2 linked regions of the Drosophila melanogaster genome follow. The protein of the gene in region 1 interacts with the protein of each later gene in a pairwise test. Each region holds a gene or a part of one and is shown on either strand. Other genes may lie near its edges.

Region 1 (6,141 bases):
TTATTTGTACAAATTATGAAACTTACTTGGGGCGCTTCGAAAATATTTTTCAAAACGAAGTAGCTCCCAATTTGAGACTATCTAGTCTAGTCAAATTTGATATACTTTAGATGTGTGCCCTTGGCTATCACCAAGTCGTCCTTCTTGTGCTTCAGGGTGCAATCGATGAAGGCAAGGTACTTGCCCACCTTGGACAGATTGGCCTGAATCACCACATCGTCGCCCAGTTTGGCGCCGTTTAGAAAGTTTACACTAAGATCTACCGAAACTCCGGGATGACATGGCTTGGACATTAGGGCGTAGGTGGTTATCAAGTCCACCAGGGTCATGATATAACCGCCGTGCAAAAACTTGTACAAGTTCACATGATCCTGGTCCACCTTTAGCTCAGCAGTGCAGGCTCCATCGCCACCGTCTACGATCTTGACCTTTAATGGAATATAAGGATGAGATAATGATATTGGTAAGGAGACTCTATGGTGATCTAACCTTCTGTAGGTGACTTTCAAAGCCCGTTGACTTGTTGATAATCTCGGTGATGTGTTTAGCGAATTCGAGTCCCTTCTTGCGAGTTCCCATATTATTTATTGATGTTGCTTTACAGACGATCCGCTAGCTTCTATATAACTACAAAATGAATTAGTTTGTCCGATCGGAACGATTAGAAATATACTAGATTTAGTTTTGTAGATAGATAAGTAGTCGTAACGTGCACTTATATCTCAAGTGTCAGATAGTAATTGTTTTACAATAGAACAATCCAACTTTATTGTATGTATGACGTGTGTAAGTTTGGATGGGACTAAATCCATTAAAAAATAAATCACAGTAGTATATTAACAAATGGATTGCTTTGATTTTTTCAATATTTGATTTCATTATCTTCGAGTGCAGTTTTCCGCTTTTCGATGAAAAGTAAACAATTAGCAAGTATCAAAAAATAAGGTAAACATAATATAGCACGATATTATGAAATAGTTAGTATTTAGTTAACGGATCCTACCTAACTATCCCCGTACTGCCCGAAATTTACATAAAAATCTGAAAATCTAACGTAACACCTAACAAAACAATTTCAAAACAAACAACAGCTGTTTTGCGATAAGCAGAATCGCCAATCGATAAGTTAAAAGGGCAAATCGATATGCAAAGTCCTACCTATTTAAAAATTATCCGTTGGGATTTCTATAGTCTTTCATCTATTTTAGTTTTAAATATCTTTATTTTGTAAATTAAGAAATAACTAACTTAAGAAATAATAAATAATTAAACTAGTACGTCTTAAGCAGAGGTTCGAAAGATTTTATTTCGTTTTCTGACGATCTACAAAAATTGTTTTAAAAATCCAGTTTTTCCTTGTCGAACTGAATGTACTTGACCTGTCCGCCCTTGGCGATGATCTTTCCATCGGACTTACGCCTCAGAATGCAGTCCAAATAGGCCATTTTCTTACCGGCCCGCACGGTATTACAATCAATTTCAATAAGTTCGCCAGGTTTCGCTGCTGCAATGTAGCTTACATTCAGGTTGGCCGTAACTCCGGGATGGGATCCTTGAAATTTAAAAAAATTTCATTGTAGATTCTATAGATTGTAATAAACAAACTTTCAAAATACCTTTCGACATAAGGGCATATGTGGTACAATTATCAACAATTGTTGCCGTAAGACCACCGTGCAAAGTTCCTTGGCGATTCAAATGCTCATTGGCCACAGTGAACTCCCCTATTGCGCGACCATCTCCACCGCCTGTAATTTTAATCTGCGAATTGAAATTTGTTTACATTTTTGAATCTCTGAAGATCCCACGAGAGAGGTGAGCACTTCACGGTTATCGATTGCAGCGAGCTGAATTATGTAATACCATCACTGATGACAGTCAGCTGTTTTTGAGAGACTTCGACGGCGTCGCTTTAAAATCGGCTGCACAAATTGTTTAGAATCTTACCATTTTCAAGACGCGGTCGAATCCATTGGACCCGCTGGCGTACTCGGACATCTGCTTCACAAAGTCCTTTGAAAAGAAAGAACTTCAGTTATCTACTCAACAAGTTACATGGTGCTCTAACCATTCCCAGTTTCTTGGCCGCCATTCCGGTGGATTTGGATTCCTGAACTGAGCACGACGAAATGACGAAAGTTACTGAGGGAGAAATTTCACATGGCGTTCAAGATGTCGGGAAATGTGAGTGTATGCGTGCTAAATAGATATACCCACACATCTGAGATAGTGATTGCCGATTTCGCGCGGTTTGTTGTGCTCGCTCTGTTCGCACTTACAAATAATTCCTATTCTTCAATGAAATAGTGTAACTGGAATATCTTGTAATATAATTGCAGTTTGTTATTGCAATTAATAAATGTTTAATTTCGTTCTAGATTATCTGGATTTTCACCTTCTAGCCAAAGGATTCGTCCGCCAGGACTCGGTACACGACTTTGTAAACAGCGATTCCGATGGAGACTTTATAGCACTGAGCGGCTCCAAATCGGAAGTGATCACTCTGGAATTGAGCAGCAAGTTCATGGTCGTGGATCCCTTTCCGTATTTTGTGGCCATTTATGATTCCAACGCTGCGGAAACACGACCTCTGGACGTTTTGGCCAACAAAGTGGATCTGGTTGCCATATACGACAGCTGCGATGTCCTGGAGGCACAGCACTTGGCCCTGGACCCGGCATACACGGCTGTGTGCTCCGTTGCCGTGCCACCAGCCAGACTAACAGCTGTTAAGCGAGCACCCAAGCTGGCAGCTAATGGAAATCTCCTCCTGGGCTCCCTCAACACTTATGGATCCTTGAGCCTAATAAACAAGTCCGCTGAGTACAATCGTTGGAACCCTGTGGAAGGACTAAATATCGCTGAAACTCTGAGGGACACTCTGCTGCCTGAAGTGGACATCGCCAAGATAAAAGACTTTAAGAGCTATCAAGAATATATTAATCCCGCCTGGATCACTATGTTTGCTTGGTTACCTGATGATGCAGATGCCACTGGCCAGCATGTTTTGGTTCTGGGAACAGCCGCAGGAAGTTTGTGGTTGCTCACACTAAGCGCCGATGTCAAAACTCTTTTAAGTCATCAAGAAACGAAAACCTCAATGGGTCGTATCTGCCATATACAAGCTTTCAAGGACCTTCTACTGGTGGGCGATAGCAACGGACTCATTCACCTGTACCAATTGCCAGCTAAGGGAAATACAGCTCTCGCCTTAGTGAAGCCCTTGTGGGAGAAAGCCGATCGCATGGGTCTGCAAATGGCAGTGATCACTGAATGTCCCAGAATGGATTGCTATTATATAACCTGCTGCAAGGCGGCGCACCTGCTGACCTGGAGCATGCCAAGAACGGGGAGCACAGACTGCCTGCAAGCTCGGATCTATGTCGGCGGAATGAAGATCACCGCTCTCTGCAGCCTGGAGAACAGTAGCTACGTTGCAGGAACCGCTGGAAGCTGTTTGTCTTGCGTACAAATTATCCACGAGAATAATCAGCTTAGCCTGCAGATGCAATCGATAGCCATGGGTGTCCTTCAGGATTTCCAGGTGATGGGACTGTGCACCAGTAGGCACAAGAACTTAATGACCCTGTTACTCTACCGCAACAAGGAATATCTAAATGAAACTGTATCTCAAAAGAACCAGTTGGTTATGCAAGTGCTCAAGGTGGGGAATCAGGATCCACTTGATCAGCTTGTCAGGCATCTGGAATCCAATAAGCCCATGAATCACTATACCGATTTATTAGCTGGACTACGTCTGCACGTTTTTGCCGAGGAGAATTGGCAAAAATTTATGGACTTTTGTCCATTAGATTCCATTGAATTTGCCGATACCGCCACTGAAGGTCAGCTGCAGCAGCTGCAAATTAAATTTCATGTTCTTCAAAACGTGATTCGCCTGCAATCGAGCCACCTCCAGCTGACAGTTCACATCCAAAAGTCCCGGGATGAACTGCAGCTGCTCCTTGCGATGCTGAATATCACACACATAAGACTGAGGCTCCAGTTTATTGGGTCATTAAGTAAGAGATCACCATTCCAGGAGCAGGCGATAAAATGTATGTTCGAGGAGGCCCACAGACTGATAAATAAACTCAATGACGACTTCACGGAAAACCATGCCCTAGGATCCACAGCAAGGACATTCGTTGAACAAATGGGCAACCATATTCAGCACTTGCACGAGATGCTAGGTATACCTGTGATATCTAATCCCCAGAAGCAACTTCATCGATGCAGTGTGTCCTTTGTGGAGGTAAGAATTCACTAGAATTCATTTTAAGACAAGACTACAGTATCCGTACAGATCTCCCTCAGCTTGGAGCGACGCTACTGCAGCCTCTGCAACCGCCAAATCCTATTCGAGCTGGACAATCTGCAAGAACTCTACGAGTCGGGGAGACATCTGACATGTCCCGTTTGCCATGGAAGCTTTGCCACGGAAATGTTTAATGCATAAACGTTAAATTTATTCTCAATCTTAATTACGAAGTGTTTTGTGTGTCCGCCTCTAAGAGCAAAGCAAGTGAATCCATGGAGACACCTCACTCGGCTTCCAGATGCCGACACACATGGTCAGAAAAGGTGTGTGTGTCATTGTTAGTACTCGGAAACATAGATAATGGGAGTGGTCTCGATTAGCAGAATGTCCTGCTCCACCTGGCGAAGATCGGACTCCAGCTTGCTTTTGCGCTGCCGCTTGGCGATGCTGTCGATAAGGAGCGACATCGACTGATACTGCTTGGTCATCTCGGTCAGGCTCAGTCGCAGTCCCTCGAGGATCTCATTTCGCTCGGCCTGCTCCATCACCCGCATACCCGGCATTGGCGGCGGACCACTTGATTGGACGGATGCCCTGGTGAAACCCTTGATACCGCGGCACAGCTCCAGCAAACGTGCCTGTTCCTTGGCACACACCGCATTCATGTCGGCCAACATCCTCTTGGTTTTCTTGAGGTAAACAGGCACCTTGCCGAAATCCTTGCGGCAGATAAACTGCGGTACCAATCCGGAATTGAGTAGATCGTGACGAGCTCCCACGGGAGTGTCTACATAACGAGGTGGCGGGGGACAGGGAACCGTTTGTCCGGCACATATCTTGTTGCGTTTGATGAAGTTAGGTACCATTGCCGGCTTTTTGCCGCCACTGCCCGGTGGTGGTAGTGGGGGCATTGGCGGCATCTTGGGACACTTGTGGGTGTTCTCTCGCCGCCATTTGATGCCCTGGCTCTTGCGCAAATAGGCGCACGGTGGGTCAATCGGAGTGTGAGCACAGCCCATGGTGCGGTGGGCTGATTTCTTGGCCTCTGTCAGGACGCGGGTTCCATCGTTCTGGAGGATAATCGATAGCTTCTTGTCCTCCTCGTTAAAGCGTTCGCGAAGTCTCTTGGCATACTTGGCTGCCCTCTCCACAACAGCTGCAAAATTGCTTAAAGTTAGGTGGGAGGTAACGATTTTTAGTACGAATCCCTACGATTTTTGTAGACAAAAATTGATTCCTTAGGTCCTTGGGCCTTCACAAAGTCCTGCTCGCACTCGAGAATATTCTCATCGTGATGGGTGATATAAACCAGGGACATTGTAATACAAATATGTAAGGATGAAGGTAGGGAACTCGAAAGCGTGCTAGTTTACTGACTATTCGTTTAATAATAACAGTCTGTTTGGTGGAGACTCCTGCGTTGCCAAGTACCTCTGCGTTGACTTGGATTGATTTAACTCGAAACAAAGGTTGCTATAGGATTTCCAGAATAAACAGAAGGCAACATCGTTTCCTGGTGATATTGTAATATTCAGATATTTTCTAGCAATCGGAATTCGATATTTGTTCTGGATCTTTTAGGAGAACACACAAAATTGGTATTATTGTATATATATTTTTTAAAGCACAAAATCAAGCTACAGCTTGTGTCGCACACGAGTTACATTATTAAATTGTAAATAATTTGTTACCATATAAAATTCGTGTATATAAATATTTCGCTTGCGTATATAAAATAATTGTTTGCATTGTAAAATTAGCACTAAGATCGTTTGTCATGGTTACATTTTGATTCCGAAGCTTAACAATAAACATGGAAGTGTTGGAAGCACGATTTAAATACGAATACGACATAGATTCAGATACGGGTTACAGATTAC
Region 2 (6,134 bases), about 14 Mb from region 1:
TTCGATTGGTTTATGACATTTGATTGAATATATTCTTGTGGCTTTCCCTCTTCTCGTGCGGCTTTCATTCATGCATTTCCTTTGTGGATGATTCAGTTTCATTTTCATTTTGTCTATGTTTTCGATTTCGAATTGGAGTTTCGTTTTCAATTTCATCTTAAGCCGGCTTCAAACGTTGAAGAGCCCTCGGTGTTTTGAACCCACATCCATTTTACAGCACCGGTCAAGTGCGATAAGTCGGTTAATTGCTGTTGAATGATGCAGCAACAAATTACATCGATCCGCTGTAATCCGCGTGACTTCCCCGACACAATTCTGATCGAAGAGATACATACAATATATTCAGCTATATGTATGTACAGCACCGTCATCGTCGACCTGCAGTTGGTGTAATTGTTACAATGGCCCAAAACACTTGACATTGGCCCTTTGCGAGGGCGACATTGAAACCACGCTTCGAAGGCCCTCCCCCGAAAACATTAAGAAATGAATAAATATGGGAAAAATGATATTTGTAGAATGGCGGAAGGGAATGAGGTATGGAATGGTATGGTCTAAGGTAATCTCTAACGATAATATTGACAGATTCTTCGGCAATCAAATAGTGCAGAGCAAATGGGCAAACACATAATAATAATAATAATAATCTCCGAACGCCAATCTTCAGCTCTTTAACGATCAATGACCATTGTCAGGGCCCAAAACGTCGAACATATCCGGCTGGGAGTGTCGAACACGTCTGAAGACGTCTTAACTTGGCCAACGGCGTTTCGTCAAATATGTGTTAATGCGGTTCGATTGCGTTCGATTGACCATCGAACTTCTTTCGGCCGCCCTGCTAATTTTTTGTATAAATACTTAAAACGATTTCAACAGCAGCAGCAAAACGCAACCACAGCTCCAATCGATTGAGCAGGTCAGATCCAGATCGCAGAGCAAGTGAAGCAAACATTTAAGTTACAACAAAGATGGTAAGACATAGTGCAGAATTAACATTTAATAAAACACAGTTAACTCTTTGAAGAAAGATACACATTCTGAAATGAAAAACTTTTTTCTTATCTAAATTTTAATAACTTTTCATTCATTTTAACAGACGAAATTCTATTGTATAAAAAACTGAAGACATTTTATTGTTAAATTTATTTTTTCTTTTTATTTAATGAAAGTTGATATTGTTCATGTGGCCTTTCCTTTGTTTCCAGCAAGGATTCAAGGAGATTTGCCTGCTGTTGGCCGTCGTGAGCCTGGCCAGCTGTCGTTCAGTGGTTCGCCGTGATGTTAGCCACCTGCCGCTGGAGTATCTGCCTCCAGTGGAGCTGCCACCTGTGCCCAGTCGCGATTACTTGCCGCCGGTGGAGCAGCATGCCGCCACCCTGAACCATGTCCTTCAGCCGCCCCGTGATTACCTGCCTCCGCTGAACAACGAGTACTTGCCACCTGTGGTGGAGGAGGAGCAGAAGCAAGAGGTGCCCACCACAACCGAGGTAATAATTCCAGAAGAAACCACCACAGCGGAGCCAACCACCGAGGCAGTTATCATCACCACCGAACAGCCGCAGGAAGCGGAGATAATCACGGAACCGCAAGAGGAGGTGGAAGTGAAAACCGTGGAGGAGGAGGAGCCCGAGAAGGAGGTGGAGTCCGCAGTGCTCCTGGACGACGGATACCACTATCGTACTCCATCTGTGGTTCCGAATCTGCTGCCCGTGAAGGAGTATCTGCCTCCCTTGGACGGCAATGCCGTTGTGGAGGAGCTGCCCAATGGCGAGGAGGACTCCTCGGCCCTCCTGGACGATGGATACCATTATCGCTCCGTGAAGCGACTCCGTTTCTAGTCCGTAACACTTACTGTATATTCCACTACGAATTTCTGTTTCTGTTCTGTGCGACAATTGTTGTTTAATTTTACAAAATACATAGACAAATACTTTCCCGACTCTGTTGGTTTCACACGATATTGGAAAGTGGCTCAAGTGATCAGGTGATGCGACTATAAAGTACCCAGTACTTAGTGTCGTATTAGTCAAAAGAGAGCAAAATGTAACATTTTTTATTAGCATGTTTAGAAATCCTTGGTAAACAATATTAATTACTCACTGTGCTCATGCATGTGGAATTACTTCAGAGTTTCACGTCATTCCTCTAACTAATATACCCATTTAACCCTACTCATACCTCGCAGCAACTCGATTGCTGCCGTGAACATTTCATTTATATTGATGACAGGAAATTAGAAAAATGTTTTCACAATGCGCACGGAACGTCGCAAGGAACTCTTCTGCGTGAGATATTGTCGCAGTCCTGCGAGGTCCTTGCTGCGTGAGTCCTTTGGGCCTGCCACACCTCCCTGACCACCACCACTCCCAATTGATTTGCGGCGGATTGTGCCCGGGTTTTATTGTTTTCTTTACGTGTTTGCCGCTTGGCATACATTTCCATTAACCAATCTTGAGGAAAGTTTTCCTGTTACTGCGTTTTCCTTACTTTTCCACGGACAACTTTGAGTCAGTTCAATAATTCAGCAAATTTCCAATTGGCCGTATAAATATTTGAAAAGTTTTAAATGTTATTCTTGTTTTGGCGGCCTGTTTGTGCTGTGCCCAAATATATATGGGATTTTTATGTTTCCGGCGGTTAGCCGTTGTCGATTTTACTAATGAATAATTCAGTACGAGGAACAGGAAAATTGTTTGCCTACTTTTACGCGCAGTTGGAATAAAATTGAGAAGCAACAAGTGTCAGAAATTTTGTGGATTCTTTGCACATTCGTTGTTTTCCTTGAGATATCAAAAACAAATAAAAATCCAAACCAAAAAGCTTTAAGTGCATTGCACTCTACCGAATTTTTCTTTTCATTCCTTCCTCATTTTCCGTATCTTTTTTTGGTGGTCATAAACCTCAACAAATCGGGGCCAAAACAAACACCTGTAAACAGTATCCGATTGAAAGAATCGCCCAAGTTTCGTTGAGTGTTGAAGGCGGGAAAAGCTTGCGGAAAATGCGAGAAAAGCCTGCCGAAGCTTTGGCCATTCAACATTCGACGAAGCGACGACTGGGAAAATCGTATATAAGCCGTCTGCCGAGGAAAATTCAACTTAGTTGCGGGTTTATTGTTGCCGAATGTAAACGGAACGGAATCTGAAGAACCGGAAAATGCGGCCCGGCTGAAGACAGTGAGTGCGAGCGAGCGAGATACAAATATTCGGCCGAGCAACAGTGAAAAGCGTTTGAAGGGCCATAGATACAAGATAATGCCCCATAGAGGAGTCCATCTCCTCTCCGCCAACCGATATGTGAAAATCGGCCAGTGGAGCCGAAAGTGAAAGTGTGTGGAGAGGTGAGGGAACGGTGCATCAAAAGAGTGATAATGGATAAAACAACTTCAGATACTTGTAGTACTATCGAGTTTATGAGACAAGTCGAAAACGAAATCGTTAACAGGCTAACACAGAATTTAAGTACAGAGTTCTTTGAATTGAAGGTGGTCTTTAAACTTTAAACTTTATTTTATTTGTGTGATGTAAAAGCGTGAACACATTTTTGTAAACACTTTTTAAGAAAACTTATAAATTTCATGTTTAAAAGATCTTCCCAAAAAAGAAGTGCAACGAGCAAAGAAAAGCGTATGCAACAGTATACAATTACAGTCTATACAAAACATATAAATTTAAGAATGCATTGTTTTTAAAAACAATTAAACAAGAAACTATAAACCAATAAATAATCCCTTTCATGCATAAAAAAATATATATAGACTTAAAAAAAAAAACCAGCGCAGTGGATTTGAAATGTAATGTAACAGAAGCATGAAAAAAGCAAAATTAAATTGCGCGATAATAAAATCGGCAAACCAAACTAATTTGTAAACATAACAAGTATTACAAGAATCTTTAAGATAAATAAGATGGAAAATTCACAATGAGCCCAAAAAATGTGACGCCACAAATCATTTGCACACATAAATCAAAATTACCATAAACGAAACGAAATACCCACTGTGAATAAAGATGAACTCGAGGAGCCGCAACAACTCGAATAAATCGAAATTAAATATTAATTAAGGCCGCATTAAAATTGCAAAATAAATTGAATAACCGAAATAGCTGCAAACCGAATGGCTTGTGAAGAAGAATGTGGCCAAAAGAAAACACATTTTACACACTTAATTTAATCACAAAACTCTTTACGCTGCTCTCTCATTCGCAATTAAAATGCAATTAATTTGGCAACAAATGCTGCTGCTGTGTTAAAGCAGTTAAAGCCATGTTTGTGCGAAGTTGGTAAAGTCAGTCGGTCGGCAGTTTTGAAATGTAATATTCAATTAATTCCATCCGATCGGCAACTTAATACTACAGCTAGTTGGCTTAGCAGCTTCATTCAATTCGTCTTTCGCACGAAATGCATTTTCCCTTGATTTTCCAGCGCTGCAAAAGGGCTGCTCTTGTTTCTGTGTTGTATATCTCGTATTTGTTGTTCGCCTCCGTGGGCCTCAGCAGAGAAAAGTTTATTAATAAACAGTTTTGCCTAACAAAGCAAAAAAATGATAAAATAAACGCGACGCAGACAGGCGGTTTAGGGTGGTAAAAAGGGAAAACTGTGGGTGGGTGGTTTGGGTGCTAAATGTCATTGTCAACGGTTTTTCATAGATTGGAAAGGTAGTTTATGGGAGTAACTTTTTCTGCATTAAGCGCTTCTTATGGAATTCAAAACACAAAGTTCACAAAAGGATGATTCAATTTTAAATTCCATCAAGTCCAAGAAATGGAAATCATTAGTGAAGGTTTTGAAACCTTAAAGTTAAAGTTTTTAAATAATATAATATTGTATATATGCCTACTTTTAGTTTTATGATTAATTTATGAAAACACTTGTTGTCGAAGTAAGAAATTTTCCGGTTTAAAACTGGAATTCTTACTTAATTTCCATGTATTTATTTAGTTGCTATAGATAATGAAGAAATCCAACATGTTTGCTAACGAGAAAATAGGAATTCAGCAAGTTTTAATTGGTTGTAAATAATATAATATAAAATTCTATATTCCATTGTTATGAAATTCGATTACTGCATTGCTGCCAAGAGTATTCAAGAGTATGTATTCTCTGTGTGTCGGCATGCATTTCTGTGCCTGTGGCCGTGTGTTTGGCACGCTTTTTGTGTTTATTAATAACAAAGTAATCAGAAATTGTAATCTCCTCGCAAAGCGTATTACAGCAGTAATAACAATGGCAAGACCACAACCACAACATAACCCCACCGCCCCATTTCAATCGCAATACCAACTCAACCCCCCGCACCGCACCACCAATCCCATTCATTTGGTGATTTCAATGCGGGTTTATCTTTGCCGCTTGGCTGTCTTTACGGGCTGCATCCTTGAGTCCTGGGATCCTTGATTCATTGTTGTGCCGCCAACCAGCCAGCGAGCGAGCGAGCACGCTTCCGGCTCAAGTATCTCTGTTTTTGTTATGATTTCCCCGCATTGTATGTATATATTTTCATATACTTTATATAGATTTGCTGTTTATTTCTGTTTTCATTATTTTCTAATTTGACGCTTCATTTGTCCATGACTGATTTCTATGTTTTTTTTTTTACCCTAACAGACGGGTATTTTCTCATCGCATGCTGCAGAAAAACTGTGATGAGGAATTATATTAAAAGCTGAGACAATGCTTTTAGTTCATGTGAAACCTAATCAGTTAATATTCTCATTTGTATGTCCAAACTAATAACTAACTTTAGTTAAATATTTTATGTTTGTCAAAAAACGCAAATGTTTAGAAGGGTGTTATTTTGGTTTGCTAACGAAAAGCTTAATATACTTCTCGTTGTTTTTCCGTTTTATTTTTTTTTTCGTTCGTCCTGTTTTCTAATTTGACTTTTGCCGGGCGCTGATTTTCGCTTTGATTTTCGCCGACTGATTGGGATTTAGTTGATGGGGGCAGGGGATTCAGTGGATTGGGGGGGGGGAGTCATTTGATATTGGGCCATATTCTATTGATGACTGAATGGCGTGTCTTTTTGCCTCTCAATCATTCTGTTCGGCTCGGATTTGTTATTTGTACTCTTGCCTTTTTATGTAATTTCACCTATGTCAGTCAGTCAGTTGGCTCGCTCTTCCCAACTGCAA

What was found. Proteins that work in one complex are often made in the same cells at the same time.
Region 2: the proteins of CG16985 (region 1) and CG43373 interact in a two-hybrid assay, tested with the Drosophila melanogaster proteins (one large-scale study listed by BioGRID).

Annotation. Positions count from the first base shown.
Region 1 is NT_037436.4:2,595,308-2,601,448, reverse strand, and holds CG16985 (uncharacterized protein), read right to left. Parts: upstream 2,130-6,141; 5' UTR 2,093-2,129; coding exon 2,069-2,092; exon of another isoform or gene 2,014-2,068; coding exon 1,948-2,013; exon of another isoform or gene 1,870-1,947; intron 1,762-1,869; coding exon 1,617-1,761; intron 1,553-1,616; coding exon 1,338-1,552; 3' UTR 1,207-1,337; downstream 1-1,206. Other genes in the region: CG16986 (uncharacterized protein), read right to left, coding at 87-428, 490-579; CG12182 (uncharacterized protein), read left to right, coding at 2,130-2,184, 2,379-4,255, 4,307-4,459; CG16984 (uncharacterized protein), read right to left, coding at 4,600-5,417, 5,474-5,579.
Region 2 is NT_037436.4:16,540,371-16,546,504, reverse strand, and holds the start of CG43373 (uncharacterized protein), read left to right. Parts: upstream 1-3,134; 5' UTR 3,135-3,340; intron 3,341-6,134. Other genes in the region: CG13033 (uncharacterized protein), read left to right, coding at 969-971, 1,206-1,838.